Linked DNA regions of Canis lupus familiaris. The protein of the gene in region 1 purifies or fractionates together with the protein of each later gene. This does not show direct contact. Links are inferred from orthologs where the notes say so. Each region holds a gene or a part of one and is shown in the gene's direction. Other genes may lie near its edges.

Region 1 (14,717 bases):
AGAAAGAAGAAAGAAGAAGAAAGAAAGAAAGAAAGAAAGAAAGAAAGAAAGAAAGAAAGACAGGCTCCAGCAGATTCAAAGTGCCCCAGGACACCTACCAATAAAACCATGGAAGCCCGTGTCCCAGGAGCTCTCGGGGGTAGCTGGAGATACGTGGAGGAGCCAGAGGGGACCTGGGAGGAATATTAAATAGAAATGTTGAGAAATTTACTTGTTTTAGTAATATATATTAGAGTGGGTGTGTCCAGAATTGATATAACTTAAGAGACTCTTTGAAGTTCAAAACTGGGTCTCTGATCCCTGGGTGGCTCAGCAGTTTAGCACCTGCCTTCGGCTTGGGGCATGATCCTGGGGCCCCGGGATCGAGTCCCACATCGGGCTCCCTTGTGTGAAGCCTGCTTCTCCCTCTGCCTGTGTCTCTACCTCTCTCTGTGCGTCTCTCATGAATAAATAAATAAAACCTTAAAAAAAAAAAAAAAACTGGGTCTCTGAACTTCAACTACTTGTTCTCCAGCTATGTACCACTGTGGGAACACATAGGATGATAATAAATGGACAAGCCTGGCAAAATTGCCCCAGAGGCTGATGAAAGTTGCAGTCTACTCTCACATTTGTGGTTAACTGTGGATATTCTGGGCTACAGTTCCATGATGCTCAGAGGAAATAGCAGGTAACCATCTTGGAAAGATAAACTGGAGACACAAAACGGATGCAATCACACCACGTCTCCCAGGATGGTCTTGGAATGACAGTATTCTGGACTACAACTCCCATAATACTTAAGGTGTAATGGTCAGAGACTGGGCTGAAAAGACAGCCCTGAGGGCTGATGGGAGATGAAGTCCACTTGCCCTCCCATCTGAACCCAGCCCTGATTATGTTGTGGTTTTTTTTTTAAGATTTTTTTAATTTTATTTATGAATGAGAGACACAGAGAGAGAGAGAGGCCGAGACACAGGCAGAGGGAGAAGCAGGCTCCATGCAGGGAGCCCGACGTGGGACTCCATCCCCCGTCTCCAGGATCAGGCCCTGGGCCAAAGGCAGGCACTAAACCGCTGAGCCACCGGGGCTGCCCCCAGCCCTGATTATGTTGAACCACAATCCCCATGGTGCCCAGGGGACCATGGCCTGCAGACCAGACCATGGCCATATGGGAAATGCAGTCCCCTTCACCATTACCTCGCTGCTCACCTGTGTTCTGGCCTCCTGACTCCAGTGCTGGGGACTCCTGGGGGGCCTTCCTCCCCCAGCCTCAGAGGAGGGTCCTCGCCGGGGGGTGGGTGGCCTGGACAGTGTTTGGCGCTGGAGAGGCCAATCCAGGGGAGGCCGGACATCGATGCGACTCAGAGGGGTATGGGGTCTGGCGAGAGGTGCTATGTCACCAGAGGATGGAGGGGGTCTGCGTACAGGAGCAGAACGGGGCCGGGGGAGGCTCAGAGGGGAGGGAGGGCGGGAGAGGGGTGTGAACAGGCTGTTGGGAGGAGAGAATAGGGGAACTGGGTGACCTAGAGCCCCCTTCCCCACTACCCACCCAGTCAGCCGCATGGGGACACATCCCCTTTCAGTGTGTCTCACTGTCCCTCTACAGTAGAACCCCACTCTATTACCCAGATACTGAATAATAATTTCTCCCTTTGTGGCATCTCCTCCTTAGGATATTCCCCCTATGGGTTCCGACCCCATGAGAACTCTAGCGACTCACATCCACTAAAGGGAGAAAGCACTAAGCCATATCCCGAAGCAGACCCAGTCCCCACCTCTTAGGCATGCCCTCAACATAGCTTTTCCTCTGACGCTCAGCCCTGTAGAACCTTCTGAACCCAGACTCCCTCAACTCACTCCGGGCTCCTGGTCCTCCGGATCCGAGGTCCAGACTGGAGATCAGCTATGGGGCTGGGAGTGAGCAGTCCGGGTCCTCCACGACCTCTGGAGAGCCGAGCCACCTCTGGTGACTCTAAGCCGTGTCTTTCTTCCCCTCTGGTCACCTCTGGGGGACCACCGGGGCCTCCAGGGCCCTCTCCAGGCTGGGGACGTGCAGGTGACCTGGGTCGTCCACTAATGAGTGAGCACAGAAAAAGACATCACTCCTTTGTACCTCATAACCAGCCCTCATTCCCATTTCGTGGATTAGCACACGGGAACCTACACAGAATAAAAGAAAGGGTAGGTGGTGCACTGTAAATTGTTGTTCCCACTTCGCAGATGGGAAAATCGAGGCCCTTCGTGTGGAAGTGACTAGTGTCAGGGCTACAAGGTCCATCCAGTCCCAGAGTCTCCAGCCTGAAACTTGGGGAAAGTCGGGACTTTCCTCTTATATTTGACATTCCTTAGGTGGCAGCCTCGGGGGTGGAGACTTCTGAGGGAGCCAATCAGAGAGTGTGGAATTTTGATGAAGGGGTGGGGCCTGACGAAACGGTGGGCGGTGTCTAGAAGAGAAAGACTTTTTGCTGATTGGAAGACAGGAAGGTCCCTGGAGGTGGGGCCTGAAGGGCGGCGTCTCCTTAGCCAGAAGTGTGATTGGCGTAAAGGGGAGGGGCTGTGGGATGGTTAGATGGGCTCAGATTGGAGGTGGAGGTCTGGGACGTGGCCAGGACCTGGACCCACCCGTCGTCCCCCTCCGCGCGAGAAGCCCGGCCCAGCGCCCTCAGCCAGCCCCGCAGGTCCTCCAGCGTGTCGGCGGCCAGAACATAGGTCCTCATGCCTGGGTGCTCAGCCTGCGGGGAGAGAGAGCTGGGGACCGGACGCCCGGGCCCTCCAAAAAGGAGGATGCCGTGGACCCTGGTCAAGCCTTTTTAGCTCCAATAATGAATGCTCCCCCGGCCGCCCCCACGGCCTAGCGCCTTAGTGCCCGCGGGGGATGGACAGACTCACGGTGAAGGTGAAGCGCCGCCCTCGCGGGGCCCCTGGGCCATCGGGCCTGATACTGTAGCTAGGGAGCAGGACGCTGCCCAGGACGCTCTCCTCGCGGCTGTCTGCAGAAGAGGGCTGGGGTCAGCGACAGCGCAGGATCTGAAGGCCAGGAGGCTAAGGGAAAGGGCGGGGGGGGGGGGGAGGGGGCGTCCATCCCTCCCCAGTCAGGGCACTGACCCTTGTAATAGAAGAGGCAATGGCCGGAGAGGACGAACCAGCGGCGTTTCCAGAGCCGCAGCCCCGAGCTGTCCTGGGGAAACAGAGAGAGAGGAGGCCTGAGTAGAGGGGGAGTGCGGAGAGGAAATGTGGAAAGGCAGACGGTGACACCCAGGGGGGCACCTGGGTGGCTCAGTCGGTTAAGAGTCTATCTTGGGCTCAGGTCATGATCCTGGGGTCCTGGGATCCAGCCCCACATGGGTTCCCTGCTCAGTGGGGAGTCTGCTTCTCCCTCTCTCCGCCACTGCCCCTCCCCACTTGTGCTCTCTGGCTATCTCTCTCTCTCTCAAATAAATAAGAAAGAAAGAAAGAAAGAAAGAAAGAAAGAAAGAAAGAAAGAAAGAAAGAAAGAAAGAAAGAAAGAAAGAAAAGAAAAGAAAAGAAAAGAAAAGAAAAGAAAAGAAAAGAAAAGAAAAGAAAAGAGAAAAGAAAGACAATACAAGACAGTGACACCTGGAGACAGAGAAACCCAGAGAGAGGAGAGGAACAGACACATGTCTGATGCAATAGATTGAGCTGGAGAGCTGGAAGCTAGAGTGTGGTGGCTGAGCTCACACAGATTCTGGACACAGTCAGACCTGAGTTGGTCTCCTAGCTCCACCCCTGTCAAACTATGCCATTAGACTAGTCATCTCCTGGCTAGATACTTGAGTTAATAGGGGATTGGGAAGTTACTGGAAGGTTGACATGAGCTACTATACAACACATAGGCAGGAACTTTGCATACTAAGACTTCTGGTCTGATTATTCTGGAGTCTGAGCGCTCCTAGAGCTCGCTTTCAGATTCCCTCTGACCCCAGCATGATAGGCTCCTTCTGGTCAGTTCTTGGCTCAAATGTCATTTTAGAGATGCCTTCCCTGACGGAGAGTCAAACTGTGCCTCTCATCCCACTGAGACTTTTGTGCGTATCCTCCTGTGGTTTGTTTTGTTTTTTAAGATTTTATTTATTTATTCATGAGAGACACAGAGAGGCAGAGACATAGGCAGACGGAGAGGCAGGTTCCCTGCAGGGAACCTGATGCAGGACTCGATTCCAGGACCCAGGGTTCACGACCTAAGCCGAAGGCAGATGCTCAACCACTGAGCCACCCAGGCATCCCATCTGTGTTATTTCTTCATAGCAATCCCTACCATCTGAAATATGCTCATGTATTATCTATCCCTGCCCCACCCCATCTCCAACAGACTATAGATACTTATTTGTCTTATTTGGGCTAGGCACGTTATAAATATTCAGGAAGTGGTCACTAAATGAATGAATGAACAGGTGCGGGGAACAATGGCATAAAAAGGGGAGAAGCACCATTAGAAAACAAAACAAAACAAAACAAATTTGGAGGCTGGGAAGAAGAGAAACAATGGACAGCCAGGGACCCAGCATCCAGCGTCACTCAGCGTCCCTTCCCTTCTCCTGCTCACTCCACCTGCTTATGAAGCCAGCCTCGGATGTGCACTGGGAGGTTGGGATCCCTTCTGAGCGCATTGCCTCTCTTCCCAAAGGCGTGCACCTTGCTTACTGCCCGGGTAGGCTTCTGAGGAGAGATGGAGGACAGAGATGAACAGAGCCTTGGATCGGCCTGGGGAGGCGATGCCACGGGATGCAGGCAACCCAAGGCCTCACTCAGCTGCCCTTAGAAACCAAGCCAAGGAGGGGATTGAATCTTGAGATCAGAATTGGAAGTGCATGGTACCAGTTGACAGACACTTTGAATAGGCGACTGGCCGGGGGGTGTTTGAGGCAAAAGAAAAAGCTACTGACTGATGGGGGAGGGATGGGAGAATCAAGGGTCTGCTGCCAAGGAGAGGATGCCGTTGGCCACCAGAGCCAGAGATGTGCAGTCTTTGGGATCAGAATTGGAAATACTGCCTGGGAGGTCCCCATAACCAGGAAAGACTTCCATGCTGAGTCCCTGGTGATGGGTCAGCTGAATGGGAGGATGCCTCAGTGCCAGGGAGTGACATCTCTTAGCAACCACATCCAGGGCAGAGAGATGGCTCCAAGTCCCTCCTTCCCAATAGAGGGGAGCCCCCTCTCCAGTCCATGCAGGCATCTCAGGCATACACAGCCAGAGTCCCATAGGAAGCCATTCCTTGGGGATGCCGCTGACCAAGGTTGGGACTGAATCTCTAGATTCTGAACTGGGGAAACTGGAAATGAGTAAACAGAGTGGCAGACGACAAAGAAATGAGTGTTGTCATTAGACTTTGGCCTGGGGTGACTATTTGTGACACAAGTGTCTCAGGCCTCTTGGGGCCTCATTGTCAGAGAAACGTCTTTCCTTATAGGATTTCAGAACTGGGTAGGATGGCTAGAGGTAGGATAGGGAGTTCTCGGTCCCAGTCAAGGGCAGCCACTGCCTGAGTTCCTGGAGGGAGCCTCATGGCTGGGGAGTAGCCCTATCTTAGCAACCAGAGTCCAGCAGGATCGTTACTCTGGTTAAATTAGGAAAATACGAGGGGTGGGGACAGCTGGGAGTGCCTCTGAATTCCTAGCTGGGCCTGATGGGCAATTTGGGACCTTACTAGGTGTAGCAGAGCCCACTGCTATGGATCCTTGCTCTTAGCAACGGGGAATCCCTTGGGTTGGCACGGAACCCTGGGCTGGGAAACAGGAGGATGGGGCAGCCCAGAGCTCAGCCCTCCTCCCCAGCCCCTCCAAGAAGCTCCAACCTTGGTGCTCAGGCTGCCCAGAGAGGAGATGGTGGAGGCGCTGCTGGCCAGGCTGAGGCTGCTCCGGGGTCTGCCCTCCTCCATCCAGGGCTTGGGGAGAGAAAGAAAGGGGCTGTGTGCCTTGTCTCTGCAGCTGACCCAGCTGGGGACAGAGCCGGGGTCAGGGGCTCGCAGGTCGGAGGAGGCCGAGGAGAAAGAGCCCGTTGTCTGGGGACTGGGGGGCTGGGGGAGGCCCTGGCCCGGGACTGCATACCGAGAGCCATGCCAACAGAGGTGGGCGGCACTGGCAGCTGCCGGCAGCCCAAGACAGAGAATAGGGGCTCCTTTATTCTTGCCCCCTTGCACTCTCGCCAGGAATTTGACCCTCTCTGTGCTCAGGGAGCCCCTATTCTCTGGCTCTTCCCAGCAGCCCCCAGCTACCTGTCTCCTGCCCTCCCACACACACCCCCAAGCCATTCCTGCCAAGCCCTGGGACGCCTGGAATGCACGCCCAGGCACTCCCTCCCAGGCCAGCCAGGGAACTTACCAGCTCTGGGGTCCCAAAGACGGAGCGAGAGGACAGTGTGGGTGCTGGGGCTCCCAGCTGCAGTGTCCCTCCTTTTCTGGGGGGGCGGAGGGGGCTACCTCTCAGACCTGTCTCCCTTCTCACCTGCTCACTCACAGGCTTTTTTGCCTTTTTTTTTTTTTTTTTTTTTTTGTCTCTTGCCTCTTCTGATCACTCTTCCCTTTCTTTCCGAGTGTCTCTGTCTCTGGCCTCACCTGGTCTCTCCGGTTCTCAATCTGTCTCCTCCAGTCTCTCTCTCTCACTCATTCTCTTCCCCGCCCCCCACCTCAGCACTTTCCCTTCCAGTCTTTTCTGTTTCTGTTCCAGATCTTTTTCGTTCGGGCTGACACAGAGTCTCTTCCTCAGGTCTCCATTTCGTTCTCCCCCCCCCACCCCCACCCTCTAGCTCTTCCTCCTTCTCTCTATCTCTGTCCCCACCGACGCTGTTTCCTCCTCTCTCTCAGATTCCCCTTCTGTCTTCCTCCCCTCTCCGTTTCTCTTTCCTCCCTGCTGGTCTGCCAGCCGCCCACGCTGCGGTCTCCCCTTCCAATCCCGGTTGACCCCGCCCCTCCTGGCCTCCCCCCACCCCTTCCAAGCCTGACCCCTGGCTCCGGTGCCCCACAGCTGAGGGGAGGGGCTGGGGCTCCCCTGACTCCTGGGTCCCTGCTGGGCTGGGATTCCTAACTGTTTGGAGAGGAGGAGCTGGGCCTGGACTCCAGGGCCCAGGTCACTGTACCCTAAAAGGAGGTAGCTGAGATCCTGGAATAGAGGGGGCTCACACTTCTGGATACACGAAAAGGTGTAAAGGTGTGAGCCTGGAGTTAGAACTCCTGAGTTGTTAACGGAGTCCGGCATCTGGAAAGGTGTTTCTGGGTGGACAGGTCCAGGTTTTCCAGAGGAGGGAGTGACCCCGGATTCCTGGATCATGGCTAGGGCAGGGTCAAGGGGCCATGGCCAAACATCTATCTCAGATCCAGGTGAGCACTGTGTTCTACACTGAGGATATTTCAAGGAGCAAAATTAGGGACCAGGTAGGAGGGATGGGGCAGGGAATTGGGACTGTGTCCCAGAGTCTGAAACTTGTGGCTGGAGACCCCACTCCCATGAGGTTCAGTGGATGCACTTTGGCCAGAATTTCGGTTTGTGTATGAGCTCTTGTGAGTTTGAAGTGGATGAAATCCAGGTGCGGAGCCTCGGGCTTGAGACCAGTTAAGGAGTCTTTTGAGGTTTTGGTTTCGAATCCACTCACCCACATATGTCGAGCACCTACTATGTGTCCAGCACCGAGGGGGGAAAAAAAAAAAAAAACAATGATTATGGGGATCCCTGGGTGGCTCAGTGGTTTAGCGCCTCCTGATCCTGGAGTCCCGGGATCGGGATCGAGTCCCGCATCAGGCTTTCGGCATGGAGCCTGCTTCTCCCTCTGGCTGTGCCTCTGCCTCTCTCTGTGTTTCTCTCATGAATAAATAAAATCTTTAAAAAAAAAAAAAAAGAAAAAGAAAGAAAGAAAGAAAAAAGCAGTGAGCAAAGCCAAGTGCCTGCCTTCAGCGTGCTTGCATTCTTGTTCTCATCTGCAATCAATGTGGATTGCTGTGACCACTTCCGCCAAGGGACTTCATTCCGGAGCCTCAGTTTCTCATCTGTGAAATGGAATCAACCATCTCCCCAACCAGGAAGGAAGCGGGACCGTTGTGAAGGGGGGACTCTGGTCTGAGGCCTGCTGATTACACTGGGGTTTTGGGAAGGCGTTTTCGCACCGGAACGGGAATTGGGAGAAAACCCGCGGCTCCCGAAGCCCCGCACGCATTTGATTGACAGCTCGCCCGTTTCGGGCGTGGTCGCGCTCGGAAACGTCGTTGTGTCGTCATAAAACCCCTGGAATCTCCGCGAGAATTCCAATCCCGAGCCGGGTGGTTTTGGTTTCAAAACCCCGCCCCCGTGACGTCAGCACGTGAGGTTGCGCTGGGCTATAAAGGCCTTTGGAGGCTGCGTCAGTTCCAAGCTCTGCTGTGCAACTTACACGCTCAGGTTCAGGACGCCGCATCCCTTCGCCGCGACAGCGCTTGCAGCAGCCGGTGGTACCCGGAGTCCCCGAGCCCGACACCGGAGGGCGAGATGAACGCGCTGGCCTCCCGAGCCGTCCTGAGCTGCGATCGCTGGTGGCAACCCGAGCCGGCGCTCCTGCCCCCAGGTTGACGCGTAGCCCCCCATCGGTGAGCGAGGGGTCCGAACGCCTGGGCCCCGAGCAGTTGGGGAGCTGGGGATCAGACTCCTGGTCAGTAAGGAAGAAGGGATTACCCATTTCTGGGTACCGAGACAGGAGAATTTGAGGCCGGGACCCCAGGATCCTGAGGAAGGAGGGCCTGGGAACCGGAACTCCTGTATTTGGGGAGAGATGGGACCAGGACAGATTCGAGGGCCCAGACCTACGCAGGAGAAGAAATTGGGAGCCTGGAGGCCTGAGCCTGGCGAGAGGAGGGTTCTGGAAGCCAAACTCCTGGATCCCTGGTGGAAGGGATGGAACTGGGCAGGGGGAGCCGCAGTTCTTGAGTCTCAGAGGGGGGAGGGTGATGAGGGCCTGATTTGTCGATCCTCAAGAAAATGACAGAACCAGGGACTAGGACCTTGTCCCCAAGGGAAGCAAGTCGAGGACCTGTGTTCTCAATTCTGGGGTCTGGGACTGCTGGGTCTGAGAGAAGAGGCTGGAACCTCTGACTCCTGGGTATTGAGAGAAGAGAGGTGGGAAAGCTGTGCCTCTGCTAGAGATGGAAGTGGCAGAAATCAGCAAGAATGTGGGGCAGGGACTCTCTTGTTGCTATTTGTGTTACTGTTTATGGTTGCTATGACTCAGTCCTCGCTTGATACTCTTCCCTAAATGGCTTCTAAACTATTTCCTTTGTTTATTTCCAGCACAGACAGATGGCCCCAGGCCAAGTGCCCCATCAGTCTGCCCCCTGGAGGGATACCTACCCCTTTTTCCTCCTGTCCCCGCTGATGGGCCTTCTCAGCAGGGCCTGGAGCCACCTGAGAGGCCCAGGATCTCCAGAACCCTGGCCGTGGGAAGCAGTAACCAAAACGGATCGGGGAAAACCTGGCCTGGAGAGAGAAGCTAAGACTTTTCTAGTCCCCCACCATCCCCTCTGGGGCAGGCACTTTGAAGAAGAGATTGGAGACAGTGGAGCAAGTGATGAGAATGGAGAAGCATTTTGGGGGGCCCGCCATAATCTAAAAGCCAACAGCTCTTCTCTTAAAGCAGGGGGACTTTCAGATAATGAAGATGAAGAATATGGTGGGGAACAAGCAGCAACCAGTGTCCCTAAAGAGCAGGAAAGTGAATTCCTAGATGGCCAGCCTGCTCCCCTGTCCCCCAGCCTTCTGATAAGAACCCCACAGGACCCTTCTGAGGAGAAATCTGAGGAAGGAGGAGCTGCAGAAGACAAAGTGGTCATGTTCTTCTCTTTTCCTCCATCACACTGGGAGTGTTGTCCAGGGGAGGAAAAGGAGGAAGGAGAAGCTATAAACAAAGAAGCTTCCAGAACACCGATTTTCCCTTTATCTCCAAGATCCAAGCCCAAAACTCGGGTGTACTGTCCCAGGGAGGAAGAAGATAAAGCCATAGAGGAAGAAAGAACAGAGGATAAAGAAGCCACAAAAAGCTCCATTTCCTCCTCATTTTCAGGCTTTTGCCCCGGGGCCTGGGAGTGTTGCTCAGGAGAGGAATGGGAGGAGGAGGAGGATGAATTCAGTGATTCAGGAGCAGCTGAGGAGGAAGGAGAAGCTGAGGTTCTCTCTTCCATCCCATCCACAAGTGCCCTCATGAGGGCCTGGGTGTATCGGCCAGGAGAGGAGTCAGAGGAAGAAGATGAGGACAGTGATTCAGGAGCAGCTGAAGAGGAGAGAGAACCTGAGGGTCCTTCCTCCATCCCATCCACAAGTGCCCTCATGAGGGCCTGGGTGTATCGGCCAGGAGAGGACTCCGAGGAAGAAGGTGAGGACAGTGATTCAGGAGCAGCTGAAGAGGAGGGAGAACCTGAGGGTCCCTCCTCCATCCCATCAACAAGTGCCCTTGTGAGGGCCTGGGTGTATCGGCCAGGAGAGGACTCAGAGGAAGAAGATGAGGACAGTGATTCAGGAGCAGCTGAAGAGGAGGGAGAAGCTGAGGGTCCCTCCTCCATCCCATCCACAAGTGCCCTCGTGAGGGCCTGGGTGTATCGTCCAGGAGAGGACTCAGAGGAAGAAGATGAGGACAGTGATTCAGGAGCAGCTGAAGAGGAGGGAGAAGTTGAGGGTCCCTCTTCCATCCCATCCACAAGTGCCCTCGTGAGGGCCTGGGTGTATCGTCCAGGAGAGGACTCAGAGGAAGAAGATGAGGACAGTGATTCAGGAGCAGCTGAAGAGGAGGGAGAAGCTGAGGGTCCCTCCTCCATCCCATCCACAAGTGCCCTCGTGAGGGCCTGGGTGTATTGTCCAGGAGAGGACTCAGAGGAAGAAGATGACGGTGACTCAGGAGCAGCTGAAGAGGAGGGAGAAGCATATGATCCCTCCTCCATCCCATCCACAAGTGCCCTCGTGAGGGCCTGGGTGTATAGGCCAGGAGAGGACACAGAGGAAGATGATGATTCAGAAGCAGTTAACTCAGAGCCAAGTCCCTCACTTCAGGCTCAGAGCACCCTCCTCAGGGGCTGGACATACCAGCCTGGAGAGGACACAGAGAGAGGGGGAGAAGCTGAGCCCTGCCCCTTCCGAGTGGCCATCTATTTACCTGGAGAAAAGCCACCACCTCCCTGGGCTCCTCCTCGGCTGCCCCTCAGACTGCAGAGGCGACTCAAGCCCCCAGAAACCCCCACCCGGCATCCAGACCCTGAGACTCCCCTAACGGCCAGAAAGGTGGGTACTGAGGGCTCAAATTCTCAAGTCTTAGGGGAAGAGCTGGAAGTCCTAGGCCTGGGGGCAGAAGGCCTGAGTGCCCCAATTTCTGGACCCCCTGTGTGTTGCAGGGGATTGCATGCAAACCCTGTTGGGAGGGTTGTGTTCACTGTAATGCAATCCTTTGCAAGAGGCTGGGGCCCCATGGGAAGAGGCCCTGTGGGAAGAGGGAAGCTGTTGTGGTTCATGTCAGCACCAGGAAACAGCCTCCACCTGCAGTGAGTCACATGGAGAATCCCGTGGGTGAGCGACTAGCAGGTGACTAAGATAACAAGCATTTTTGTGCAACTAATTTTTGTTTTGGCTCTCTCTCTCCCCCCTGCCCCCCCTGTGGACACGTGTGTCTTGTGTCTGTGCTGGTCCGTCTCCAGGTCCGTTTCTCCGAGAAAGTCTCTGTCCATCTCCTGGCTGTCTGGGCAGGACCGGCTCAGGCAGCCCGCCGCGGACCCTGGGAGCAGCTCGCCCGAGATCGTAGTCGCTTCGCCCGGCGGATCGCCCAGGCCCAGGAGCAGCTGGGCCCCTGTCTCACCCCTGCTGCCCGGGCCAGGGCCTGGGCACGCTGCGGGAACCCTACCCCTCCTCTGGCCACCACACCTGCTCCTGCCCAGACTTTACCAGTCTCCTCCATCCAGACCACACCCTTGAGCCATGTTGGGGCATCTCCCTCCATTCCTGTGTCCCTATCCCCTGGCCTGGACCTCAGTGGGAGGCGTGGCTAAGATCATGTAGTTTCCTATTTATATGAACTATTTATTTTGTGTGTGTGGTTTCATACAAGAAATAAAACCTTCTGATTTGTAGCAAGCAATGTCCCCTGTGTGTATGTTACTGTCTGTATCTGAACCAACAATTATCCACCACCCGTGGGATAAAGGTGAGTACCTCAATACAGGACAAACTTTCTATTTCCCATCATCCTCAAATTTGCCTCTTCTTGTCCTGAAGCCGCTTTTGAACTAAGGGCTGGTGGGTTTTGTCACTTTTCTTTGGCATCGGCCTAAATTTTATTAAACTTGGGAGTTATCTCTCCTAGGGGGCCTGGAGCTGGGCTCACTGATCTCTAAAAAAAGGATCAATTCCAGCTTTCTGGACCTCCCTGGAATCAACTTATCTTCCTACTGGCCTTTTTTTTTTTTTTTTTTTTTTTTTTAGATTTTTATTAATTTATTCATGGAGACACAGAGAGAGGCAGAGAAAGGCAGAGAGAGAAGCAGGCTCCATTCAGGGAGCCCAATGTGGGACTCTTATCTGGGACCACGGGATCACACCTTGAGCTGAAGGCAGATGCTCCACTGAGCCACCCAGGTGTCCCCCTACTGGCCTTTAAATGGTGATTTGCAATCCTGGGGTCCTGGGATTGAGTCCTGCATCAGGCTCCCTGCAAGGAGCCTGCCTCTCCTTCTGTGTCTCTCATGAATAAATAAAATCTTTTAAAAGTACATAAATATATGGTGATTTGCTCAAGGCTTTCGGCTGTCCAATTTCACCTTTGTAAACCGTTCCATAAGCTGTTTTCTTACCCATAAAATGTGGCTAAAAATAGCACATGCCTTACAGGACTCTAAGGCCCCAAAAGAGCTCAGATTTATTTGCATTTTTTAATTTTTTTTTAAGATTTTATTTTTAATTCCTACATCCAACATGGGGGTTGAACTCACAACCTCGAGATCAAGATCCCACTGTTCACCCACTGAGCCAGCCAGGTATCCCAAGTTTATATTTAAAACAATCCTTATAAAAATAAATAAAAATAAAACAATCCTCACCAAATAACCAATGTTATGTAAGTGTGCTAGTATGGTAATTATTTTCACTCTCACCCATGCACATCTTAAATTACCCATCCAAGTTTACAACTTCAACTTAGAAGTCTTTTCTGACCTCCTAAGATCTGTCCAGTAGTTCGAAGAAGAGTGGTGCAAATATCCTGCCCCCTGGCCTGCCTCTGACCCTGCCCTGCTCTATTGGCTCCCCAAGCTCCTGCCACACTATCCTTTCATTTTCCCAAACCCATCAAGCCCCTTTTCACCATAAGACCTTCGTATGAGCTCTGCCTACTGCCTGATGTGCTGATCCCTCTGGCTCTAGTTCCTTATGATTTTTCAGATGTGGCATGAAAATCACTTTTTTAGAGACACCTTAATCTGACCCAGCTGACCTGTGCTCCAGCGTGCTTTTCTCTTTTGCAGCAGAGGAGCATTTTGACTTTTTTTTTTTTCTTTTTTTTGATTGTTTAAGACCCATCCATCTTCCATGACTCTGAGTTTGGCAAAAGCGGGTGCTGCCAAGAAGCCCACCCACTCCCTGGAGCAGAGGGAGGACTGGGCCCCCAGGCAGTGTATGATGTGTTGGTTGTGTTGTGTTGGTTATGACAAACCATAACCGTGGTGCAAACGAAGGCACGCGGGGGCCCTTTCTCCAAATGAGCAGGCACATCAGCTGGTAAGGGTACAACATTTCATTGGATTACGCACAGGCCAGCTTTCCATCGAAACTGGACAAGCAGATGGCAAAGGCTTGGAGTGGGCAAAGCGGGAAGCGGAAGTCCATGGTGAACGTGTCCGGGGCCACGCGGCCGAACTGGAGCACGAGGTAGTCCACTGAGGAGGAAGTCAGGAACTAAGCCTAGCCCCACCTCTCAACTCCCTTCCAACGTCCTCTGAACTCAGAGAACTCTTACTTCTCCGAGGCTGTGCTGAGCTCCCACTACGTCCAGAAACCCTGAGGGCCATTTAAACTACAGCTCCCAGCAGGCTTTGCAACTGCGTGGAATCGGCCCTGCCTAGAAAAATGCTCAAGGGCTGCTGGGAGAAGTAGTTCTCGTCCTCTCATTACCCTTTGCCCAAGTGTATAAACTGATTCCTAGGAGCTCACGGTCATCCGGATACACGATCTGGAAGTTCTTGACCGAGGCCTGAGTGACTCGACCGTGAAAATTGAGTACGTAGGTGCCGTTCTCCTGGCTCCACAAGGGGGTTTTGTTTTGCAGCAGGATGAGCCTCTGGGTGGCCCCCCGTTGGAAGCGACTCAGTAGTGACTCCAGCCCCTAGAAGATAAAGTAGGGGGCATGGTTAACTGCCACCAATGAACTTTTTTTTTCCTCCGGACTCAGAATTTTGAGTCCCTAATCTCTCCTCTTTGACAAACATAAAAGTCTGACAAAGCCCTTCTGGCTTCACATATGACTACCTGCAAGCCGTAGGCCCTCTTCGCCCTTAGGACCTAGAGCAGATCCCCCAGACCTTCCTCCCGGCCCTGACCCAGAGTCTCAACCCAACTTTAGCCAACTCACGTTTTGTGGCTGGACACTGATTCTCTGGTTCTGGGCATCGATTTCTGGAATGATCACATTCATTTTCCGTGGTCCTCGGAATCCCAAGATGTTGGGCTCCTGGGGGTAGTATGCTGCAGTTAGCCTGGCTCTTTTCTCCCTCCCTACCCTCCTGCTTC
Region 2 (14,727 bases), on another chromosome or scaffold:
ACCCAGGACTGTGGCATAGAATTTTTGTCGCAAGGCAGGTTGAGCAGTGACTGGGGCCATTTCTGACATCCCAGACCTCCAAGAGGATACCATCTTCCCCAGTACCCACCGTGGTAACAGCCAAGCTGCCACCCCTTGGTGGCAGCCCTGCCTAACACAGTTGACCTGATCCTGAGAGTCCGAGACAGAATAGTCCCTCACCGTCCTTTCCTGACTAGTGGGAATCTCTTCTCCCTCATCCTCAGGCAAAGTGGCCTGGAGCTCTGCTGCAATCAGAGGGGGCACCTGTAAATCATCTTCCTCCTGTAGGACACAGTCAGCCTCATCAGAGCCACTACCCCAGGGACCCCACTTTAAGACATCACAGCTCTCCCTTCAGTGTGCAGCCAATGGTGGGTAACCAAGCTCTCCGCTCTCCCACAGCCGGCCCGAATTCCCAAGTGTCCCTCCTGCTGTGGGATTCCTCCAGACACAACATCCTGAGGGGAGATACAGGTGGTTCACGGATTAACAGAACCAACGCTTCTCCAGTCTTCTCTGACTCCCGACTCCTTCAAGGCGCTCCACCACCTACAGACTGAGGGCCCAGCTACCACTAGTCTCCTCTCCCTTCCCCTCTCAGGCAGGCCACTTAACTACCCCTGGGGCATTTCCCCCAAAACTCCACACTCGTAGGCCAGGCCACCTCTCCCCACACTGTGGTGGCCACCAGCTTGGGCTTCCCTTGCCTGGCCTGGATGGCTTCATTTCATCTCCAGGTTGGCTTGCTGCCTCTTAGAAGGTGGAGAAGGGCCAGCCAAGTATCCCCCAGACTCAGAAGGCACCCTGAGAATAAAAAACATCACGAGTCTTCCAGAACCATTTACACCATTTTACTCAGGATAACCTACCCACAGGAGGCACTGGACCAGCTAATCACCCAAGAGACTACTCTTCCACCAAACCTGGCCCATAATCCCCTGCTTTTATAGAGGGAGGGGCATAGTGTGACTGTCACAGTAAAGCTACCTCAAGTGGTGCCTCCTGCAGGCCAGCCACTCTGATCAGTTACCTCCAGTGGCACCTCCTGCAGGCCAGCCACCCCCCCTAGTTACCTCAAGTGGGGCCTCCTGCGAGCCAGCCACCCACCTGAGTTACTTGCGCACCACTCTAGAGAGGATCAGAACAATGCCTCCCTACATTCTGGTCAGGGCACACATTAAACCTCCATGGAGCCTATAACACAGAGCCCTGAGGAAGGTCACAGCGCAGCCATGAACAAGATGGAGGGCCAAAGATGGAGTCCGTGTCGTCAGTACTCACCTATACATGAAGATTAAAAGTACCCTCACCCACTAAATAGTAAAACCAAACATCCATCAACAGAAAAATGGTTAAATCCCATTATCCATTCAATGGTGTTCCATGCAGCTATCATAAAGAAAGAGGCAGATCTACGTACTGATGCAGAAAGCTACCCATACTCTGCCAGGGGGAAGAGGCAGAACTGAACTATATAATGTATAACAGCTGTGTGTTACTGAAAACATCCATGATGAAAAAAAGACTGTAAGTGTTCCAGAGAACATCTCTAGGAAATGAGAGAAGGGTAGGGGGTGAGAAGGGATCTTCACTTTTTAAATGTATTTCTGTATTCACCTATCATTTACTTAAAAAGTACTGAGTTGAGGGCAGCCCGGTGGCGCAGCGGTTTGGTGCCACCTGCAGCCCAGGGTGTGATCCTGGAGACCCGGGATTGAGTCCCACATGAGGCTCCTTGCATGGAGCCTGCTTCTGCCTGTGTCTCTGCCTCTCTCTCTCTCTCTCTCTGTGTCTCTCATGAATAAATAAATAAAAAATCTTAAAAAAAAAAAAAAAGTACTGAGTTGAAACATACTATGTGCCAACACTGTTCTGGGAACAGGAACTAAGTGCTGAAAGGATTAAGTCCCTGCTCTCATGGAACTAACACTCTCTAGTGGAGGCAACCAATCAAACAAGAAAACATGCAGTAGTATGTGCTATGACAAAACTAAGGAAATGTGGGAAGCCTGGGTGGCACAACTGGTTAAGTGTCTGACTACTGGACTACTGGTTTCACCTAGGGTCATGAGACTGAACCCTGCATCCAGCTCTGGGCTGAGTGCAATCTGCTTAAGACTCTCTCTGCCTCTGACCCCACCCCCACCCCCGCGCATGCTCCTGCTCTTTCTCGCTCATTCACAAATAAATAAATCAAAAGAAAAAGAAAAAGAAGGAAGGAAGGAAGGAAGGAAGGAAGGAAGGAAGGAAGGAAGGAAGGAAGGAAGGAAGGAAGAAAGAAAGAAAGAAAGAAAGAAAGAAAGAAAGAAAGAAAGAAAGAAAGAAAGAAGACAAAAAAAAAAGAAAGATATGTGACAGAAGTAAATACAGTGGTCACTTCAGGTTGGGCGATCAGGAATGGCCTCTCTGAAGAGACCAGAATGACAAGAGGAGCAAGTCAAAAGAAGTCCTGGAAAAGAACATTTCAGGCAGGAGAAATAACTAATGAAAAGGTTCGGAAAGAAAATGGTAGGGAGAACGCTCCAAATGAGATCAGAGTGGCAGGCAGGGGCCAGATCGGATCAAGTAGGGCTTTGCAGGCAAGGGTAATGAGTCCATATTTTATTAAATGATCTGAAGCTTGTTAGTCATAATAGTATTTTTACTTTTGGAGGAAAAAATTTTAATTAAAATAACTTAAAGAAAAATTAAAATGCCAAAAGCCATGCTGGATTTTCCTTAGGTATCTTTAAAATAAGCAACTGTTGTAAACACAGTTTATTCTACCTCTATTATCTTCTTTAGGATCTGTCGAAATCGAAGAGTTAAGGCATCAGATTTTTTCTTCAGGAGGTTTCGACCCGTTTGCGCTCCTTTTAATCGAGCCTTCATGATGGTCTGTGCCCTATACAAAGTTAAAAATATTTATTCCCACTGTTTAGAAAACATAAAAATACTTCCCCAATAAAGTATTAAAGTTATGCTTTACTTTTTGATGTCATGAAAATAAGAATATATAGCATTTGTGCTGACAAAATTAGTTTCTCACTGCAAATTTCCATCTTCAGTGCTCCATAAATAAGAAGTTCATTTACTTAAAACAGAAATAATTCTTTAATCAATATCTGGAAAAACATTAAATCATAATACAATTTCTTAGGGGTCCTATTTTATACCACCATAGCTAAAATATTTGATTTGCAAGTTCAAATTATATCTGTATTTCCTTTTTTTTTTTTATATCTGTATTTCCATTACAGCTGTATTAAGCATTTTTTTTAAATCTGTCCACTAATATCAAAAATTGAAATGCTCTTACCTTCGGGACTAACAATTCCACTATGCGAAATTTATCCTACAGATCTACTCTCGTATGTACACAAAAATATATACAATGTTAAGAATGAGTACTCCACCCTTGTAATTGCAAAAAGGTGGCAACAAGCTAAATGTTCCATAAATCATGGTTCATCATACAATGAAATAATATGCAGTCATAAAAAAAAGAGAAAGCTAAAAGAACAATATAATCTATATTATATTCTCTTATGCAAAGAAAGGGATGAATATGCTTATACAAATACGAAGAACAGTTCTAGAAAAGATTCACAGAAACTGGTAACAGCTGCCTTTAAGAAATGGGATTGAGTGAAAATATGTTATTTACTTTTTACTATATTTATTATCTTTTGAACCTTTTGTATTAGATACCACAACCATTAATTACTTTTTCTATTAAAAGTATGGCATTTAAAGTGTTTTCATCTCACCAGTCAATATCCTATCACCAATAATTTTATTACTTTGTAAATGACTCTAGGAACCAATGACACATATTTGAGTAGTGACAAACTACAGAAATCTCCTTACCTCCTTATTCCAAACTTTTCCCATCAGAAACCCCAATACCAAAGTCAAGAAAGTAACAGCAGAAATTGACATTTCTGTTCTTACTACCATATGCCAGATAAAACATAGTAATAAAAAAAAGTAGGTAAGATGATTTAACGATCAATTGTATAATGTAGATACTTAAGGTATTTGTATAAGGGGATATAATTTCATATGACTGGTACCATAATCTATCGCAAAACAGCATGTATTAATGTATTAATGGACCTTTGGGTAAATTCCTAGATTTTATTAATGGACCTTTGGGTAAATTCCTAGATTTTACTGAAATCTTTTTCCATAGGGAAAAGGTTACACAGACAATTCTATAGCTGAAAGAAGCTTCAAATATTATCTTGAAAATGAGGCTTAGAAAAATGAAACACTTTCTTCCGTCACAGGGGGGACGGGATGGGGACAATGATGATGACTAGACTGAAACAGATTTCCGACTCCAGTTTCTTGCCCAAGACTCAAACTAAAGCTCAAACCCAGGCCCACTGTATCCCAACCACATGCCACACTGCCTATTTATAAATAGCATCAGATGAACAGTTCCCTCTTTGAAAACTACTGTCAGTAGCTGAATTTGCACTGACTGGCCTCACTGGAGGTCTAAGTGAAGCCGGTTCAGCTTCTAGCCTGAGCTGGAACTATCCAGCCCAATGTGTACATTTAACATATTATGTTGTTGACACTAATGACCAGAATTTGGGCTCAAAGAGTTGGAGGATCAAATTTAAGTCAAATCCTAGCTGCAGATTCAATACAGTAAAAAAGGTAAGCCAATTGATAAAATTAATCATGCTAATTTTAATTTACTCCTAGCTAATGGCACCTCTGTGAAATAGACAAATTTTATTTCTTGAGTCTTGAAGAGTGATTTGCCCAAGAGTTTACAGCTAGTATGTTGTAGAATCTGGATCTGAGGGACCTCTGTTGACTGCAAATCCTTCATGCCTCTTTCGCTTTCACTCTAACCTTGTTTTGCTCTTTCTGGTGCCTAAGTGGGAGACAGCCCCACTTCACAGGGTAACACTGTATGGTGGAACTGTCTGACACAGAGGTCACTATAGTATTTTCTATCCTAGCTCTTTAAAAAAAACAGAGCTGCTCAGCTCTAGGAAAAATGTTCGACCTTCAGCTAGAATGATGACTTTGTTTTCAGCTGAATCAAAGACATCTGACTGCATGACAAAATACCTGCTGTTAAGTCTTGAGGAAAATATTTAGAGAAGCAGTAACTTCCTGCACCTTATTTTCCTCTCAATCACCAAGCTGAGTGCTCTCAAGTAGCAATTTTCACTTTTATAAACCTATTAGTCTTCTTGTCTGAACCCAAAGAAGGCCATTTTCACTTCTTAGACTCAAAGTACAAACAAAAATATGTTAACATTCTGAGTACCATCAAAAATAAACACAGCCAGACATTAAAGTGGTGAAAAGAAATTTTGTTTAGTAATCACTGAAAGTAGGAGAAAGAGGTGAACTACATTCTGACTTGTACAGAAGTGGTTAGGCATTTTAAAGGAAGAATAAGGGAAAGGAGCTAGAGTGGACTCAAGAAGAGTCACAGAAGTGAAAAATTACAAAGGGTTGATCACTGAAAATGACACTTGGCTAGTTGTGCCTGCTAGCTGGTAGTCATGGAAGTTAGGATTCTATCTTCCCATGAGACTGGGAGACAGAAGCCTCATCCTTCCCAATGACTACATTTCAAAGAAATGGCTTTCAGATCGTTGAGAACGACACTTCTGAGTTGTAGGAGAGACATACATATCTCAAATGGAAAAGAAAAGACTTCTAATTATAAGCTATTTTTAATAAATGCCTTAAGAAAGGGAGGTCAAGGGCTATCCTAGGTATTGGACAGGACAAACAAAAAAAATTCTCCTGGTAGCACTGGGCTTTCTCAGGCAGGCATTTTAATGGTTGCTTGAGTCATTCTAAGAACAGAGCCTTAGGCCATGCTAGTTTGGTGGTGTCTCAGGGAAGACTTTTAGTCAGTCAAGTACTGGGAGTTCTGCAGATCTTACCATCCCAGGGTAGCCTTGGTCCTTATCTATTTTACAGGCACTACTTTTCTCCACAACTGACTTGCTTCCTACCTAGTACAAACACCTATTAGAAAACCAGTAGGTGAAAGTAAAAAATAAGCAAACAAAATCCAAGAACTCTTTCATTTCATTAACAGCTAGAGCTACCCTGGCAGAAACAAATCTAAGTCTGGGATTTGAATGTAACTCTTTTACTTTAAGCATTCCCAGATTCTCTGAGAAAAAAAAAAAAAATCAAGATGAAGAAAAAAAAACCCAGAACACTCCCAAAGAAATAGGACCACAATCAAAAGATCTAAATATCAAAGCCTAACTGATTTTCTACTTCTCACTGAAGAAGAAGAAAAAAAAAAAGTAGTAGAAGAGAAGGCAAATAATAATCTTTACTTTCTACGCATTGTTAGGCACATCTGAGAAAACTGCAAAACTGTCTTTAAAAACTGGCCACCTGGGGCTCTAATGCTTTTTCTCCCGCGAAAGAATTCAGGCCCAAGAGAAGGGCAGGCCACAAGTGAGCAGATCCCAAGAAGACATGGGTTCATCCAAAGAAATTTTTTTGTAGATTTTCTATGGGTTAATTATCAAGACGCTCTCTCCTCCTGGAGACAGCTCACAATCAGGGGGAAAGGTGTGTAAACAAATATTCACTTTATATAATCTGATGGGTGGTATAACAGAGGTCTGAACGAGGTGCAATGGTGATGGAGCAAACGGAATGCCTCAGAAACTCAGGGATATCTTCCCACTGCAGGTGACATTTCGTGGGATCTGGGAAAATGAGGAAAAGGATCCAAGATTGAATCTGATGTCCACGCTAGGGCAATTCGACTCAACCCCCAATTTGGCCTGGACGCCTCTCTTATGTGCTTCTCACCATTGTAAACTTCCCTTCTCAGAGTATTTATCAAACCTCGCTGGCTGGTCCATCTCTCCGTTAAACTGCGAACTCCCTTAGGCAAAACTGGCGACGATTCATAGTTCTATAAATCCACTGCCCAGCTACATAAGGGAATATGGGATGAATGGCTTCATTACTAAGTCAGCGCACCTCCATAAAAACAAGCAGGCCGGGCAGCCTGTCCCTACGGATTGGAATCGCTCTGTTCCGTATGGTTTCCTCAGAGGGACTTGTGAGGGGGCCGTAAGGGTGCATCGCCCCAAACTCACGAAATTCAGGATCCGCCCAGCAAACAAGGAACCTCGCTGCCGGTCCGGGGTATGCAGGGATCGCAGCTCGGGACAGGCGTTCGTGAACCTACGGATGCTGCTCGACCCGTTCTTTTACTTACATGCGCGAGGGAAAGATTTCAATTCGGTCTTTGCCCGACATTCTGACGGTGATAGTTCGGCTCGGATCCCTAGCCGGGCAATCGTGGCTGCAACAGCCCCAGCCACAGGGTCTTCCTCCACGGGAGTCAGCTGATTGTGTCACCTGACCTCTTCGCGTTGCTAAGTGGCAGCTGGGATACGTATATACGCATCCTTCACTTCCGCTTCCTGTTGGCACGTGGGGAGGGCGGGGAGCGGGGGGGAAGGACAAGAATGAGGCGATGCCCGGATGTTGAGGCCTCGCTCGCACCCCGCACTGAACTTCCCCTCACTTCCGGTTCTCCCCCAAGCCCCGCCCCTTCAACTCCCAGGAGGCTGCGCAGGACTCTGCACGCGCGAGGTGAAAGAACAGGAGAGGAGAGTACACGCCTTCTCTTCCTCCCCTTTTCATCTTGGTCACAGCGCCACCTCATGGTTGCCTGAAGCTTCGAGCGAGGGTTAATTCTTCAAGGACAAGGGATCAGTCCTACTCCTCCTGCGCCTTGAAAGTTACTTAGTGAAAACGACAGAGTTCGACAAAGCGTACTTTTCAGGTCCTCCTATGATCTTCATCCTTCCTTTTTTTTTTTCCGGAGGACCTAGACTCTATGGTCAGTGAGGAAGAGGGACCTCTATGCTGTGGGCGCTTGCGTGATGCGAGGCGGTTCCGCATGCGCGGTGGGGTAGAGCCGAGCGCACGCTGAGGATCGGCCGCTGCTGCGGGTGGACTGTCCGATCTCTGCGATTAAAGAGCACGGCGCGGGATCCCGGCGCAGGATTCACACACATACCTCAGGTGACTGGTTCCCCAGATCAGATTCTTTAAGAACTCGCTTTGGTTGTGTGCAGTGACGGGTGTGCGGGGGAGGGTAGGCCCCGGGCTCACACCCCTCCCTTTCCCGTTCCTGCGCGGGAAGTGTCCGACCCCCCCCCGCCGGCGCCGGCTGGGTCCGCGGTGTTCAGGGTGTCCGTGCACCAGCCGAGGAGTCTGGTGAAGCCAAGTGAGCCAGGAGACGCTGCAGCCTCTGCGATATGCTCAAAGTGAGGCTGCTTGGAGAGGGGGGCGGCTTCGGGGAAACGCTGTGACACCCCCGCCCCGGGACGCTCAGCGCTTTGCTCGGGGCCTCAGAATACCACCGCTCGCCTTTTTTTTTTTTTCTTTTTTTCCCCTTCTCCGCCCAAGCAACTACTGCTTCTCAGTGGAAACCAGACCAGGCGCTTGAAGGGCCATTTGGGGTGGGCCGCAGTGTTGGTGAGATCTGGGTTAAAAGGATCCAAGAATAGTTTATCTGTCCGATAATTGATTTTTTTTTTTAAATTGATGCTTACTACCGTGTCGCTTGACTTGTGCATTTTTATAGAACGAGTCATCCCTTGCATCGAAACTAAAACATACCGTTGAAGAGTTTACTATTCTTAGTGTCAATTTGCCGTATCTCAGCACCAATGAGAAAAGACAAGCTGTGGCCCCAACGGTTAAGCATAACTAAAAAGATAAGGGAATTTGGGGGTTAAATACGTATTCAGCCTGAGGCCTTTTTTATTACTCGTCGAACTTAGGCTGTTTCATTAAACAAGAAACATTGTTTTCTTGGAGCAAAGCTGTAACAAGGCAGTGTTGGTTTTTCTCCCAGTTGAAGTTATCAAGGAAAAAAATTTGTGATTCTGTGTCTTTTCAGCAGTTCGTGAATTATATAGAGCTTTACTGCCTCTTCTGAGTTGGTCTGATGCCAAGTGACAGTTAATTATTCTCCTAAGATCTCAAGAAGAGTGATATTTGTAGATGGGTGCTTTCTATTTCAACTACGGTGAAACAGTTTGAGAGCCTATTTGCGTAGCACTGCTCTACTAAAAACTAGCATGCAGAGAACGTTCCCCAGAAACATTTGAGCCAAGTGGGAATTCTCACGAGTTACCTCTATCACATAACACACTTAACTTTGTAAAGTGATGGGGACTCCCCGGATCTGTTGGGGTTACTTGACCATGCACTGGTTTAAGAAAGAAGTCCAACCTACCCTTTGACCAGGCAAAATTACTGACAATGCAGGGTATTTGAAATTAGCTTGGAGTTCAGTTAATATATTATTGAAATATAGATATTTTGTGTGGAAGAACACATACTGTATTTTAGTACTCTCACATACGGACGCCTTCTGGGTTAAAGGTATTCTGCAATTAATATCAGAAGACTTGGTTTTAGTTCCTGTTCTGGTACTTACTAAGTATTTATCCTTGAGAAAGTCATTTAATATTTCTGTTCCTTGGTTCCCTTTTAATTGATTGCTTCACTTACTCCTTTCAGAGTACTTTATATTGCTTGTATTTGCTTACTAGTTTGTTTCCCGCTCTATACTTTCTTAAGTAAGACTCTTTAAGTGTCAGTAGTGCTTAGTACATAAATACTGCAAAAATAATTGTTTAACCAATGAAGCTACAAAATGGCAATGATACCCACTTTGCTTTTTAATGTCATATGTGTATAGCACATTACACTTTTCAAATTTTTTCCATATTTCTTAATCTCATTTGTTACTCTCCAAAGAGAGGAGAGGTCTGAGAGGTCCATGACACAGACTAGAAATTACAGTTTAATGGGAATGCGTTTCCCGAGCAACTACAGCTAGTAAGTAGGAGAGCAAGGCTTGGAATCCATGTCTAGAGTGTTTTGTAATTCTTAGCTACTTTCTATGTCAAATAACATACCATCACTTGTGTTCTTTTTGTACGCTATGTATTGTAAAGAGATTGGTACCTCTTAAAGCAGTAACATTCATATCTCTCATCAGGATTCCTTTACAAAAGTGCCTGTGTTCTTTAATCATCAAATTAAGTCTTACTTCCCCAAAATTAATCAGCTTTACTGTTTGAATAAACCTGGTAAGTAAATGTGGTTAGTTAGTCCCTGTTAAATCTTTTAAAACTGTTAAACACATTTCTGTGACATCATTTACTTTGATATTCAGTTTAAAACTTTTAGCTCTCGAACTTTAGTGCTTTACATACAGATATTTGACAACAGTTCTCCAAAAGAGAGAGGGGGGAAAAAAGCCCTGTTTAAGAATGAAACAACCAGCTCAGCTGTTTCTTGGTGGGTAATTCTGGCCATTGAAATGTCTACTGCCCTTTATTTGCTAAATCCCTATTTTGTCAAGGTATAAAAGAAATGCATTTCTGCTGCTATTATTAAATTTTGCTTTATTTTTATTAAACAGGATAGATTAGTATTAAAAGCTTGCATTGTGGTGCCTAGGTTGCTCAACGGTTGGGCTTCTGCCTTTGGCTCAGTGTGTGATCCTAGGGTCCCAGGATAGAGTCCTGCATCGGGCTCCCTGCATGGGGCCTGCTTCTCCCTCTGCTTGTGTCTCTGCCCCCCCCCCCCCTTCTCATGAATAAATAAATAAAATCTTTTTAAAAGGAAATAAAAGCTTGCATTAATCTTGCTAAAGTACATATTTTAGCACTGAGTATGTATATTAATGTTACCTTTTTTAAAAGCTGTTTGTAACTTATATATTTATCAAAACAGTGAAAATACAGCCTGATGCATAATAGCACAGACTATGGATCCAAACTTCATAGGTTCATATTCTATCACTTGTTCACAGTATATAACAGAACTAGTTACTTAATCTGTGTTTCCATTTCTTCAACTGTAAAATGGAGAGAACATGGGAGAGAGGCAGTGGCCAGATCATAGAGGATCCTGTAGGTAGTGTAAAGATGTAAAAGTCAGTGGGAGGCCACTGTGAAGATACGTGTGGGTGCAGTTGGCATCTCAAACTGTACTGCCCCAGAAGTCTGGTGTTCTATGATCTGGATGTTTTGTCTTTAAGATCAAGTAATGGCAGCCTTATTTTCCAATTATAGGGAAAAAATTGGCATGCCTGGGTGGCTTAGTTAAGCGTCTGGCTCTTGATTTTTGGCCAAGATCAGGATCGTAAGATCAAGCCCCACGTCAGGCTTACGCTGGACGTGGAGCCTATTTAAGATTCTCTCTCCCTTGCCCTCTGCCCTACTTGCTCTCTATCTTTCTCTAAAAAAAATAAAAGAAGTAAACAAATTCTCACATACTTTTCTTAGGCTTTTAGGTCCTATCACTGCCTATTTTGTGAACTTTGAGAATAGTAAATTGGTTAAGATTAGTAGAAAAACATGAAAATCATCAGCTATGATTAGTTTTATAGTCCTCTTTTAAAAATACACCTCTGTGCATGGTATAATTTAAGTCTTGTAGGTCATAAAAGGAGTGGTGCTGAAAGTAGGTTGGATAGATCAAAGGAAATAGAGTTTAAGAGACACTTGAACTTTATAGTAATGGAGTTCTGTAAAGCTATTCTCAAGAGTAGTTATACGAGAGTAGGTATACTTGTTCAATAAAAGAATTTAGTTGTGTTTAGTTATATTTAATATTTTGTGATTAGTAAATTTTTAGGTTGTATCTTAACACATACTGTAATTTTGGCTAAAATGATAGGGTATATTATTTGATATATGATTAGGACCATGGTTTTAGTAGTTGGAAGAGTCTTCCCTTTATATATTGGTGGTAGTATACAACGACTTAGCTGACTTGGAGAACGAGTAGCTTTAGTTTGGCTGATAGGTTTATAGTAGTAGTGATGCTTCCCATCATTTGTTATTTCTTAAAGTGATGATATTAAAATAGTAATTTACTCTTGAGATATACCTTTAATCCTTAGGTCTCAAAGTACTTTATAGGTGGTCATTATTTTTTATGATTCCTCTAAAACTGATGGCAGAGAATCACTCAAGCCTTAAAAAATGTGGAGCAAAGTAAAAATTAAAGTTTGATTCCTGAACATCCGTTTTCTGGTCCATTTAAGAAGTTTAAAGAGGTGAAAAGACAAATAGTTCTTCCAGTGGCAAGATATGGAAAATTGACATTTCTTTATTTTGATGTTAACTGAACACTCACTTGATTCTTTTGTTTAAAATGCAGAATGCCGGGTCTAAGTTGTAGATTTTATCAACACAAATTTCCTGAAGTGGAAGATGTAGTGATGGTGAATGTAAGGTCCATTGCTGAAATGGGGGCTTATGTCAGCTTGCTGGAATACAACAATATTGAAGGCATGATTCTTCTTAGTGAGTTGTCCAGAAGGCGTATCCGTTCTATAAACAAACTCATCAGAATTGGCAGGAATGAATGTGTGGTTGTCATTAGAGTGGACAAAGAAAAAGGTAAGTGATAAAAATATGCAAAATATAAATTTCAGATTTAACATGATTTATTTTAATTTTTTTGTAAATTGCTGATGCTGTAAAAACCAAAAAAAAATCTTTTATACTTAAATTTTTTTACATACAAAGTTGTTAGAGAAAGATGCCAATTACCCATCTAAGCAAGACCTCTTAAGTTAGTGGTGGTTTAATTAGCACGTTCCTGTGGCTAATGTTTGTGAGTCAAATAACTTGACTTTTATTCCCAGAGGTTACCAGGATATTGATAGTTGACTCATTGTGGCTAAACTCAGAAGGGACAGATCCATAAATCAGAGTTTTCATATATTTGTAAGATTCCTTTTTATTGAGATGCCTGGGTGGCTCAGTGGGGTAAGCATCTGACCCTTGATCTCAGCTCAGGTCTTGGTCTTAAGGTTGTGAATTCAATTGAAGCTAAATTTGTAATCAGATTATTGGAGGAACATGGAAATAGAGTAAAGGTAAATGGATTTTAAGAATATCTTATATAAATTCTGGAAAAGGAATATACCACAAACACCCAAAACACAGTATTCTGTATATCTTTGATTATTAGTGGGTGTTCTATGAATATTCATTCATAATGTCCAAAATTGCTAAACAGTTGAGGAAATGGGAAAGTATTACCCAAACAAGAGAAAAAGCAAATGGAGACTGACCTAGAGGTGACAATATTGGAGTTAGCAGATAAGGATTTTAGAACAGATGTTATAACTGCTCAAGGATTTTAGGAAAATAAACTTGTAATGAATGAACAAAATGAAATCTCAGTAGAGAAATTAGAAACTCAAAAAAATAAATAAATAAATAAATTAAAAAAAAGAGAAATTAGAAACTCTCAGAACTAAATATAAATTTTAAAATTTAAAGTATAATCTCTAAAAAACTCACCAAATGGGCTAAGAGCAGGGTAAAGATGGCAGAAGGCCCAAGTCAGACTTGCACATAGTTCGTTTAAAGAACCAATCTGAAGAACAAAGCAGAGGAAAAACAACCTGTCAAATATTAAAAGCTGTATTCCAAAGGAAGAGAAAGGGCAGAAAACATATTTGAGGAAATCCTGACCAGAGTTCCCAGGATTTGCCGAAAAAAAACAGATTTATAAACAAGAAGCTTATTAACAAACTTCAAGCAGGATAAATACTAGTAAGACCACATCTAGGCACATTACACTATTGGAAAACAGATCGAGAAAATCTTGAAAGTAATCAAAGGAAAATGATTCATGATTTACAGGGAAACAGTAATACAAATTAGTATGGTACTCTTACTGAAAATAATGGCTGACTGACACTGAGCATTGAATGACATCTTTAAAGCACTAAAAGAGAAAAATTGTCAGCCCAGGATTCTAGGATATTTAAAATATTCAATGATGAAAATCCAAAATGACTTTTTCAGGTGAATAGAAACTAAGAGGATTTATTACTTGATTTCTGTTAGAGGAAATGGTTAAAGGATGTTATGCGAGCCCATGAGGTGTGATACCTGACATGGGAAATATATAGGTTAAATGTATAAAAGACCATTTTTCCCTCTTAAATTCTTTAAAATACATGTAAGTGCTTGTCTCATTTTGTACTCATGGGATTTTAATTTATGGAAGTGACTGACAACATAGTAAGGCCATGGCAATGAATGCAATGGCCTCACCATGCCCACACAGGGCCACCATGAGGAGGAAGCACCAGTTTCGGTCAGGAGGCAGAAGGAGCATCAAGAATACAGGAAAAAAAAAAAAGAATACAGAAAATGGGGCAGCCGGAGTGGCTCAGTGGTTTAGCGCCTCCTTTGGCCCTGGGTGTGATCCTGGAGACCCAGGATCGAGTCCCACGTCAGGCTCCCTGCATGGAGCCTGCTTCTCCCTCTGCCTGTGTCTCTGCCTCTCTCTGTGTCTCTCATGAATAAATAAGTAAAATATTAAAAAAAAAAAAAAAAAAAGAATACAGAAAATATAACACAATTGAGCCTTTGATGAATGGATACCAAAAAGACAAGTATAGAATCTTTTGACTAGCTTTCATTTGAGTAATTGAGAGCCCTAGTTCCCTTCACTGAAGTGTTAAAGAATCTACAATTACATAATACAAGTGAGTTTCTGAAAACAAAAATCTCTCATCTTATACAGTGTTTAATTGATATGATTTTAGTGAGGAATAAGTCTAAGTATGCCACCAAACAATCTGGTGTAAAAATTTATCGCAGTGGTAAGCTAGTAGTACCTGGGCAGAGATGATATTTTTTT

Evidence for each region.
Region 2: the proteins of PPP1R15A (region 1) and EIF2S1 purify together in Homo sapiens (affinity purification with western blotting; 4 studies listed by BioGRID and IntAct, with this or other methods). This does not show direct contact. The link is inferred for Canis lupus familiaris from reciprocal best matches to the Homo sapiens genes PPP1R15A and EIF2S1.

Annotation. Positions count from the first base shown.
Region 1 is NC_049222.1:108,157,976-108,172,692, reverse strand, and holds PPP1R15A (protein phosphatase 1 regulatory subunit 15A), read left to right. Parts: upstream 1-8,325; 5' UTR 8,326-8,616; intron 8,617-9,251; 5' UTR 9,252-9,260; coding exon 9,261-11,228; intron 11,229-11,638; coding exon 11,639-11,986; 3' UTR 11,987-12,075; downstream 12,076-14,717. Other genes in the region: PLEKHA4 (pleckstrin homology domain-containing family A member 4), read right to left, coding at 99-173, 1,192-1,471, 1,840-2,055, 2,605-2,714, 2,872-2,972, 3,088-3,160, 4,552-4,659, 5,798-5,881; TULP2 (tubby-related protein 2), read right to left, coding at 13,734-13,867, 14,142-14,313, 14,560-14,658. UniProt on the Homo sapiens protein: Recruits the serine/threonine-protein phosphatase PPP1CA to prevents excessive phosphorylation of the translation initiation factor eIF-2A/EIF2S1, thereby reversing the shut-off of protein synthesis initiated by stress-inducible kinases and facilitating recovery of cells from stress.
Region 2 is NC_049229.1:41,625,377-41,640,103, forward strand, and holds the start of EIF2S1 (eukaryotic translation initiation factor 2 subunit 1), read left to right. Parts: upstream 1-7,555; 5' UTR 7,556-8,052; intron 8,053-8,277; exon of another isoform or gene 8,278-8,297; intron 8,298-12,219; 5' UTR 12,220-12,220; coding exon 12,221-12,461; intron 12,462-14,727. Other genes in the region: ATP6V1D (V-type proton ATPase subunit D), read right to left, coding at 2,788-2,905, 7,238-7,278. UniProt on the Homo sapiens protein: Member of the eIF2 complex that functions in the early steps of protein synthesis by forming a ternary complex with GTP and initiator tRNA. This complex binds to a 40S ribosomal subunit, followed by mRNA binding to form a 43S pre-initiation complex (43S PIC).